Linked DNA regions of Drosophila melanogaster. The protein of the gene in region 2 interacts with the protein of the main gene of each other region in a pairwise test. Each region holds a gene or a part of one and is shown on either strand. Other genes may lie near its edges.

Evidence for each region. The genes of interacting proteins can lie anywhere in the genome.
Region 1: the proteins of Nost (region 2) and Kyat interact in a two-hybrid assay, tested with the Drosophila melanogaster proteins (one study listed by BioGRID).

What each region holds. Positions count from the first base shown.
Region 1 is NT_033777.3:11,819,573-11,824,436, forward strand, and holds Kyat (kynurenine aminotransferase), read right to left. Parts: upstream 2,922-4,864; 5' UTR 2,851-2,921; intron 2,849-2,850; exon of another isoform or gene 2,775-2,848; intron 2,670-2,774; exon of another isoform or gene 2,620-2,669; intron 2,546-2,619; exon of another isoform or gene 2,248-2,545; coding exon 1,708-2,247; intron 1,649-1,707; coding exon 836-1,648; 3' UTR 809-835; downstream 1-808. Other genes in the region: COX5A (cytochrome c oxidase subunit 5A), read left to right, coding at 140-589; CG6959 (uncharacterized protein), read right to left, coding at 4,058-4,864.
Region 2 is NC_004354.4:9,028,153-9,033,484, forward strand, and holds the start of Nost (nostrin), read left to right. Parts: upstream 1-2,052; 5' UTR 2,053-2,717; coding exon 2,718-2,744; intron 2,745-5,332.

The DNA.
Region 1 (4,864 bases), on a different chromosome or scaffold from region 2:
TGGAAAAGCCAGTGTTGCCAACCATCACTCAGATCTGTCATACCCGTGTGAAAAGTAGCAAGAACAAGAAAAGTGAGTCGAGCTGTTACTTAACCAAATTTTTGCAATTAACAAGCATTTTACTGTTTTTAACGGCAGCATGTTGAGCATCACGGCCCGTAACCTGGCAAGCGCCCTCCGCAGCAGCCTCGTCGGCACATCGTCGCGCGTGGCCGCCGTGCGCTGTCTGCACGGAACCGAGGAATCGGCGGAGGAGTTCGACAAGCGCTACGAGAAGTACTTCAGCCGTGAGGGCATCGATGGCTGGGAGATCCGCAAGGGCATGAACGATCTGCTGGGCATGGATCTGGTGCCCAGCCCCAAGATCATCGAGGCCGGTCTGCGTGCCAGCCGTCGCGTCAACGACATTGCACTGGCCATCAGGTGGCTGGAGGGATGCAAGGACAAGTGCGGCGACCAAAAGGCCACCCTCTATCCCTACTTGCTGGAGAAGATCACCCCCACACTGCAGGAGCTGGGCATCCCAACCATCGAGGAACTGGGCTACGACAAGCCCGAATTGGCCCTGAAGTCCGTGTACGATGCCTAAGCGGAGAACACTAGTTTAAAAACACAGAACACAATATACACGTTACAGCGACACTAGCTACCTACTATCCAATGTATGGTGCGGATGAACATGTTGTTGGATTGCTAATAAATGGAGATTGCAGTAAGGCTACCACACCAGCACAAGGTTGTTTTCCCTGTTGGTTACGTAACACCCAGGTTAGGGAACTGCATTCGGGCAGAGATAAACAAAGCGGCTGATAGCAATTCGTTTATTGTCCGGCGACTATTTCCATTTGGACAGCAGTTCGGCCGCCTTATCCAGGTTCTCTTGCTTCTTGATGAAGCAGTAGCGCACAAAGTCCTCCCCCAGATGTTTGTTGGGTTCGCTGTAGAAGGCACTTGGCGGTATGCCCTGCAAGCCCATGTTCTTGGTCATCCACTTGGTAAACTTGTAATCCCGATGCTTGTCTGGCTCAGAGCTTAGATCAATCTTGCCCGCCAGTGGTGACCAGTCTGCCAGCATAAAGTAGCCACCCTCAGGAATGGTGGGACGCATACCGGATTCGGACAGGAACTTGGCCATGAAGTCACGCTTCTGCTTCAGCTCGCGCGGCAGGCTAAGGAAGTAGCTCTCCGGCTGACCCAAACGGGCCAGTTCTACCTCGAAACTGCGTGCGACGCCCTCCTGGAGCGGCGTTGGACAGGTGTACACAGAGTTCTGATGCACCATCTGCAGGTTTCGAATCAGTTCAGCGGGTCCGTAGGCCCAGCCTATTTTCCAACCAGTTACTGAGAAGGTCTTGCCCGCTGATCCCAGAGTAATGGTGCGATCCCACATGCCCGGCAGCGTGCAGATACGGATGTGCTCGGCTCCGTCGAACACCAACCACTCATACACCTCGTCCGAGACGCACAGCACATTCCACTTGCGGCAGAGCTCGGCTATCCTCTCTAGCTCTTTCCGGTTGAAGACCTTTCCAATAGGGTTGTGGGGCGTGTTTAGGATAATCATCTTTGTTTTAGAGTTGAACAGACTCTCGAACTCAGCGTCATCTAGCACCCAATCGGCAGAGCTTATTGGTCCCTCTGTCTTGCGCTAGAAGTTAGACATGTTAAAAAGAGGGATATATTTTTTTTTTCTATTGTGGTTCTTACCAATTTTAGGGGAACAAAGCGGGGCACTCCACCGGCCATCTTGACCATAGGCTCGTAGCAATCAAAGAATGGTTCAATAATGATCACCTCGTCGCCCACGTCCACATGGCCCATGATGGTGGAGTAGAGAGCCTCATAGGCGCCTGAGGTAATCAGTATGTCGCTGAGGGGATTTAGCTCCTTGCCGACGAGACCGCTATAGAGCTTGGATAGCGCATTGACCAGGCGAACGTGACCGTAACCGCGAGTGTACTGATGCAGAAGAGGATTCTGCTCCTTGGCAATGTCGGCCAACGAGTGGGTCACGTACTCGGGAGCGGCATCATCGGGAAATCCCTGTCCCAAGTTCAGGGGCTTATATTGCATGGCCAGGGCAATGTACTCGTTCCAGACGCTGGGCGTGCTACCCTGCAATCGCTTGGGCAGATCGAATTTCTCCATTTTAATGGCAGTCTGCTGGTGACGAAGGGCTTGCAACTGGAACTGCTCGCGAAGGCTCCTCTTAGCGGCGGAGAGGGTTAACTGACAGCTGCGTAGCATCTGTAAAAAGGTGACTTTAGTGAATGATCGCTCCCTTTCGCCTTATCACCGCGTGTCTGGATTGTTTATTGCGCGATAAGCACGCACTTTGCCTGTCGTCTCTGCGGGTCTGATGTCTGATCTCAAATGTAACAATAAACTATATCACTGGTTTACTTTTAAATGCAATTGTTGAGTTAAATGCTGGAGGCCTGCACTACGCGGTGACGTTGCATAATGGCACTGAATTGTGATTAGACTAGCGGAATATCTATATGCGACACGATTTTGTTTTAAAGCGCTCACGCACACATGCAAACTGAAATATGCAAATAAACAAGAGCGTCTAAAGTTAATGCCGCAACATATAAATATGTTTGATCTGAAATTCACCCAAAATTAGCTGCAGGAAACAAAAATCATTATCAACTTTCTGTTCGAATTACAGATTTCACAATTTTAAACAGATTGATAACGACCCAAACGAGCTTTAATTCCACGATCATTTCTAGTTGACCTTGAATACAAAATGACAATTAACCAGATACTCAAAATAAAAGGGTTCTTTAATTTGACAACCACTTTGAATACATCTTAGAATTCGGCAATTAAGCTGTAACTTACAAATTAAGCTGCGGATTGTTTATAAAATTGTAGGTGACCCAAAACACTGTTTGCACTGTTATCGATAGTCTAGGACCAGGGATACCATTCAAATCACGCACGAAAAATCGGTCCAATCGACTACCAACTTATATCGAAAATAAATCGAATTCAAATTATCATTTTAACATAACCGCGAATAAGTTGCAAATAAGTTTTTAAAAAATATATTCAAATTATTAGGATATGGTTGCAAGTCCAATGAAACCCACACAAATAAATTTAAAACGCATTTCATTTCATTTTTCAAATGTTTATTTATAAAAAATGCTTGTTATTGGTAGTTAATCAAGGGAGAAATTATCGTACAGCTAGTATAATTGACAAATTAATTGATTAATAACATATTAAGCATCGAAACAGTTTCATTGAGTGTAGAATTATCTGTAATGCTATAAAAAGAATTGAAGTTTGTTTTAGACCAATTTCGATTTAAAATGTTCTTTCTGCAGAGTTTCAACAAAGTAAAGCTACTAAACTTAAATCACAGATAACACTAAAGTGTTTGTTACGATATATGCATGTATATATATGTGTCTGTTTCTATATATATATATGTCACTATATATGTGTGGTCAAATCGGTTGATACAGGCCCGCTTTGCCTTCTCCTTTCGTACGATTTCTTTGCTTTGAAATCATAGAACCCATAACTGACTTAAAGTTAAGATAGAAAACCGCTAAATCTAAAGAAATTGTGTTCTTGTCTGTGTAATGTGGTTTTGTTGCAGTAATTTAAGTGGCCACATTCCATCCGCTGTTAAATGCAACAATTGGCTTAAGTACTACGAAACAAAGGCTGATGTTCTGATTCTGGTTGGGACTTCAGTGTGATCCTATTGTTTCCTCCATCTCATCCTCTTCCATTGTGAATGGCACACGTTTTGCGAAACGCTAATGGCAAAAACTAATCTGAGGATATTGGCCCGGTTTCGAATTCAATTTCAAACAAATAGTGTTCTACAGGAATAGAAAGTAAGAAAGAATTCTTCACAAATTCAATCGAAGAATCTTTTATGTTATATCCTTTGGAAATTGCAGGAACTTTTTTGGCCTTGATACAATTTCAGGGAATCGAATGGCTTTCTGTTTGAAATGAAAAGTGAAAACCGAGCTTTATTCCTCTCCTTCTCTCTTTTTGTGTTGATTCTGTTGGTGAAGTGAAGCTCCTAAACGTGCACCTCCGGGCAGTCTTCGTCCTTGATCGATGTGTACTGCACCTTCTTGGCCACATTGTCGAAAACCGGCGTTATCATGTATTTCAACTTGTCTCTACTGACGTAGACAAGTGCCACCAGAAGTCCCAGCAGGATCATGGTGAGTACGATCAGCAGGAAGATCAGAGTGGCCGTGTGACCGCTGATATGGGCCTGAGGTTGGAGATGAGACGCCTCCGGGTCGCCGTAGTGCGGCTCATCCTCTGCGGTGTTTAGTATTGTGGCAGCGGCGGCGATGGCGTCCGCACACTGACCCATATCCATCTGCAGGAGGTGAGCGGGCTCGGCGTCCACATGTCCCGTCGAATGGAAGCACATCAAGCTGTCCTTGTTGCGCACCGTCACCCGGGTGGTGGTTATCCACGCGCGGAACGGAGCGGTGCGGCAGTCGCAGCCGAAGGGATTGAGGTTAAAGTCTACGATCAAGTTGGCCGTGCGGTTGGGGCGCTCCTCCAGTTCATTGAGCACCCGAAGATCGGTTGGCTTCACGAAGCTGAACTTATTGCGCTCCAGGTCGAGGAAGCGAAGATTGTTCAGGCAGCGCACCTCGAAGTTGAGGTCCCGCAGATCGTTGTCGCCCAAATGGAGGTCACGCAGCGAGGGCAGGTCGCAGAAGACATTGCGATCCTTGAAGTGCGTGATCTCGTTCTGCTCCAGATGCAGCTTCTGCAACTTTACCAACTGGCTGTTCACAAAGATGTCGTGCAGATCCTCGCTCAGCTGCGGCGAGCTATTGTCCTCAAAGGCATCGGTGAGATG
Region 2 (5,332 bases):
TTTCGAATTGTTTAAGTGCAACTTTTGAACAAAATATGGAAAAATGAAACGCAAGTCTTATGAAATCCTAGCAAGTAAGGCAAACCAAAATTGTAAAGGTCAAGATACAGAAATGGATGGAGGAACGATATACCTAAAAACAATGCCTAACTGTACGATAGTAAGCATACTATATACACATATATATATACATATATTGATAAAGTAATAAAGCGGCATAAATGTGTAAAAGTAATCTATTTATTTACACCGACAACCCTGTAAATACACAAATTCTGTGCAATTTTCTATCGACTCCCGCAAAACCCCGCGTTTTAATTCAATCCTCGCCCAAATCGAAACTTTGAACAGACAACGACTTTGGATTCTCCCTTCCACCTGGATATACACTATATATACATACATATATATATACATACATACATTTAATTATTAACTTACGCAAGTCTGAAAGTATTTCTATCGAAGAGTTCTAAACTGCTTAACTGTAAAGTGTACATACATATACCGAATTACAAACACTCACAGATCCTATAAACTATATTTATAGATGTAAGAAAAAGCACACTATTGATAACCATCCCCATCACTGTATGTATATGCCTATTTAATATATATATATATATATATATATATATCTACTTTTTTTGAATTAGTCACTAAGCATAGACAACATGAATTACTAAGTACGATATGCACTGCAAGCACTGAGGAATTTGATTCAATTTTACTTAAGACAAACGAAAAGAGAAATTGAAATAGCATTTAGCAAACCTAACGGAAAATCAAAAAAAAAAAAACAGAATTAAATAAGAGAATCTCCAATTTCTGGGATAATAATTACAAATTTAATATTAATTTTTCGAGCTACATCGGATGAGAAATACCGACGAAAAAAAAAAACTGTATTCGCTTGTGGCAATTGTGTGGGAAAGTCGAGAACGTTTAGCATCTGGATTGGCTATGCAGCATTCGTATGTTATATACTTAGAAACCCGAAAACCACAGATACACACACACACCCACGAATATTAAATAGATGTACAATAGTTATATAGACTCATTCGCATCGATCCTTTAAGCCATAGTCTATCCTGTTAAGCTCTCAAACAAAATTGTAATTTTCGGAACCGCAAAAAACGAACCCCAAACGCTCAGCTACGAGTTTCTGTTTAAAATCCAAGTGCAACTTTCAAAGAATTGTAAAAAAAAAAAAAATATCAATAACACTTTACGCTAGCGAATCCCAACAATATTTGGACAAACGATCGAAATCATCCACAAAATTGCTTATAATATGAATTTTCTGACTCTCTCCTAAGGGAAAATAAAAATTTTTTTTGGTATTTCAAACTCAACAACATTGCGTTTTTCTTTTATGGCATAGTTTTGGGCTTTCTCACCTACAAGTAAAGTCAAATTCAGATGAGTCACGGCTTGTAAGGTAACTAAATAAGTTATTAGAATATTGTAATCACAGCATTTAGACGGAAATCGAAATAAGTCATAAGGGTAAGTTCGAAAGATGCAAATTTATGCATCTGCATTCCATAACTTTGAAGTCATCGTAAGCCAAGCTTAAACGAGCTTTAAAACGTACACAAAGCTTGTCCAATTGGCTGCAACTTTTTTTTAACAATAAATAAATTTTTAAAAATTAAATCTTTTTATCTAAAATTGTCTGAATGTCAGCTGACTTCAATCAGTTGAATATATGTTCTTTATGCATTTTCATTTCATATTTTTCTTTATCATATTCTATTCACCGAGTGGAAGATTTCCCTGCAGGTTTGTTGTTTTTTTTTTTAGCCACATAAGTCAGTAAATCAGCCCACTGTACCCACTGTGCCGCTCCACAAAGAGCGTTCAGCGTTGAGCGGAGAGCGTTTAGAAAGCGCCAGCGACCGGCGATTGCAATTGCCACCGCTCACGGAGAGCGGCGAGCGGCGTTTGCGATTGCGATTGCCATTGGGATTGGGATTTGTTGTAGCGTGGATCGCGGAGTCGGAGTCAAAAGCTAAAAGCCAGATTCAGTTGGCGGCGCAGACTCGACTCGTTTAGTTCGCCGTTTCGTAGAAGAGCGACGAGAGCGCATGCGGCTTTTCCAGCGCGGTTTTTCCACCAAAACTTCGGCGACCTGTGTACTATTATTTATATTTTTATTACATTTTTTTTTATTGTTTTTTCTTTCTACCTGCGAACGCTTTGCTCGCCTTGAACTGGAGTGCTTCGTTTTTGAGTAGTGCATCTCTGCCTTTTGCTGGCGAGTGCTACAATTGTCGCACGTAATCGTGCTGGCAGTTACGCCTCAGAAAGCAGCCAAAAAAAAAAGAAAAAAAAACGCAGATACAAGATACAAAAGTATCTCGAACACATGCGTTACGCTCAGCTGACTCGTCGTGTGTGTGAGTGTATCGTAGTGTCGTTGTGTGTGTGTGCTAACAAATTGGTTAGATAAATTAAACAAAAACTGTGAAATTCGCGAATCAAAAAAAAAAAAAAAACAAAAGTAAAATAAAAGTTACACAAACGAAATACGCGAAGGAAAAGCGACGAGCTGAAACTGAAAGCAAACAATCAGCCGGGCTGACCAGTAGTAAATGCTTTAAACTTCAATTATAAAATTTAAATTGAAAAAAATAAAAAAAACACATATAGTTCACAATACCGCATCATAATATCCTACCCGCATCCTAACCCCCGCCGCTGGCCAAAATATGTCACAATTCCGCGATAATTCATGGGTGAGTTGCGATCGAGTTCAGTTCGGTTTGGCTTGAGATTTGGCACTAATTACCGACTAACTACTGCACACGTATCCACAGTGATACTCGCACTCTATCCTGCACTCAAAACTAATCCAAATTGCACAATTATCCAACACAATTTCTCTCCCTATCCTCATTTGTCCATTGCCCAACGCCCCCTCTCGACATCTTCTTAATTGGTCCAAATCGTTAATTAACCTGTGTGGCCATCTGTAAACCGATTGGCCAATTGGCACCATGCATCTCTCGGCCTGACCCGATTTTTTTAAATTTCGCAGCTCGCCAAGTGCCGATCCATCGATTGGTGGAATTGCACTGGCAATCAAAGTTGATAATTAGGGGAATTTTGACGATTTCTTCAATCATTTTGATGTTTAGTATTTGAGATACATTCACTAGTTCTTTGATGGCTTATTACCTTAAACTGCTTTTGAACTTTAAGAAAGTTACAAATATTCGTTTTAACTTACTATAACTTTATAAGTTTAATGAACAGAAAATATAGAACTTTCCACATTTATAGACAAGCAATTATAATATCATTTTCGATATAAAAAACATTATTATTAGGGGTGTTTTTTTTCGAGTGCATTTGCATTTGTGCCGACTGGCAATTGACTTGGAACTGAGAATTTTGACAGCTTCCGAAGCTTCGCATGCAGCGAATTACCTTGGCTTTATCAGCGGAATAACGGTGTCGAGGTCACTCGAAATAACCTAATCAAATTGGTTGGTTTTTTTAAATTTTAATTTTTTATTTTTTTTTAATAGGAGTGCGTCGTTCGCTTTGGCGAACGAAAGTCGAACAGTTTTTGAATAAATTAGTGCGATGCAAAACACGCAGGTTAAGCGGGTCAAACGGCAATGTTGATAGGCATGGGATGAAATTTATAGATCGACTTATTCGAAGTGCTGTGCAACCCGTTTATCTCGAACGATTTATCTGCGAAATATCTGGCCAAGATGGTAAAAAAAAAAAACAAAAAAAACTACTGCGGCAAGTGGTATTGCAAGATATGCAAAATTGTGGTTAAGTAAAGTAGTAAATTATCAATACTTTGTATTTAGAGATATGAATTCACTACTTAAGATACTTTTTTTTCGATTTAGTTTCTCTATATGTTTGCTGACTTTCGAATTAAGCCGCAATTGCTTTGCATTTTTTTTATCTCTACTTGTGTCAAAGAGAAAAACACACACACCTACATTTACCGAGAAATTTCCCAACTTAATTTCTACATGCTATCTAGATCAAACATCATTTCCACACCTCGAGCGCCCTTTTTCTACAGCAATTGCATGATTTGAAGGTCGACGGAGCTTTCTTTTGTTTCTTTTGGAGTTAAAAAAAAAAAAAAACCGGTGAAACAAACAGTTAGGATTGCACTCAGCGAAAAGAGTTATCTAAATCCATAACTTGTTGATAAGAAGATAGTGGTTGTATTGTAGTAAAAAATAATCATATAAAAACTTGGTACATTTAGGCATGGTGAACTTTTGCACCACAGCAATTTCGCGTAGAATCGCATTCTTTTTTTTTAGAAGCCTTTGTTTCGCTTCGCTGTATTTTTGTTGTTTATGAATGTGAATGCGTTATCGTCGTATCTGCGTAACTGTAATCGCATTATGATCCATTAAAATGCGCCAGCTTTTTTGGCAGTTTTTTTTTTTGTGATAAGGTCTGCGGACACCCACCACCTAAGGCGCTCCCTCGTCTGGCAGCAAAAAAATGAAAATAAAAAATATCATAAAACCAATCAAAATCCAGTAAAATAAGAGAAAAACCAGTTGGCCTGGCCCAAGTCGATTGCGCAAATGTCGTGACTGACGTCGCGCCAACGATTATCATCTTCTTCTGGCTAAGATTGAGATTCGGACTGGGATTGGGATTGGGATTTGGGACTTGGGATGCTGCACCTGCACATCCAAAGTCTGGCGGCTGAAGTCTGCTTCCTGGTGGCAGCTTCAAGTTCAATTACGGCAGATTGTCGTGAAGGCATTGGCCATGGATTCACAACCATATCGATATACACAACCACAACCATATTCACATCCACATCCACATCCACATGTCCATGTTGGTCATCAGCAACTTTCACTCACCGGCTAAATGACGATGACGATGTGTGCCTCCTGCACATTTTGTCATCGTTTTTCATGTGGGAAAATCTCTCGCCTCTGCAAAAGATCCAAAGAAAAAAAGACCTAAACGATGGGGAAGTCGTGTGGAGGCTCGCTTTTATTTTTCCTTCTTTTTTATTCATGGAAGCTGCGCTTTTGGGCAGACATTGCAAAATAATTTCCACAACAAGTTGGGAAGGCCGTCGACGACAATGAACTTTTAATTACCCCAAAGACTCGTTTCGCAAAAAAAATAAAAACACATGGAGAAAAGTAAAGGGGGAGCACAAACCTCATTCAAATGAGGTTTGCGGAAGAAAAAGAAAAGAAATTTTCAAAGGAGGAAAAGTTACTTAGCTCTCCGTGATCATATGCAATTTAATGCCTGCCCAATTTGCTGCGGAACAATCGGGTCTTTGTTTTTTTATGAGCAAAACCCTCCA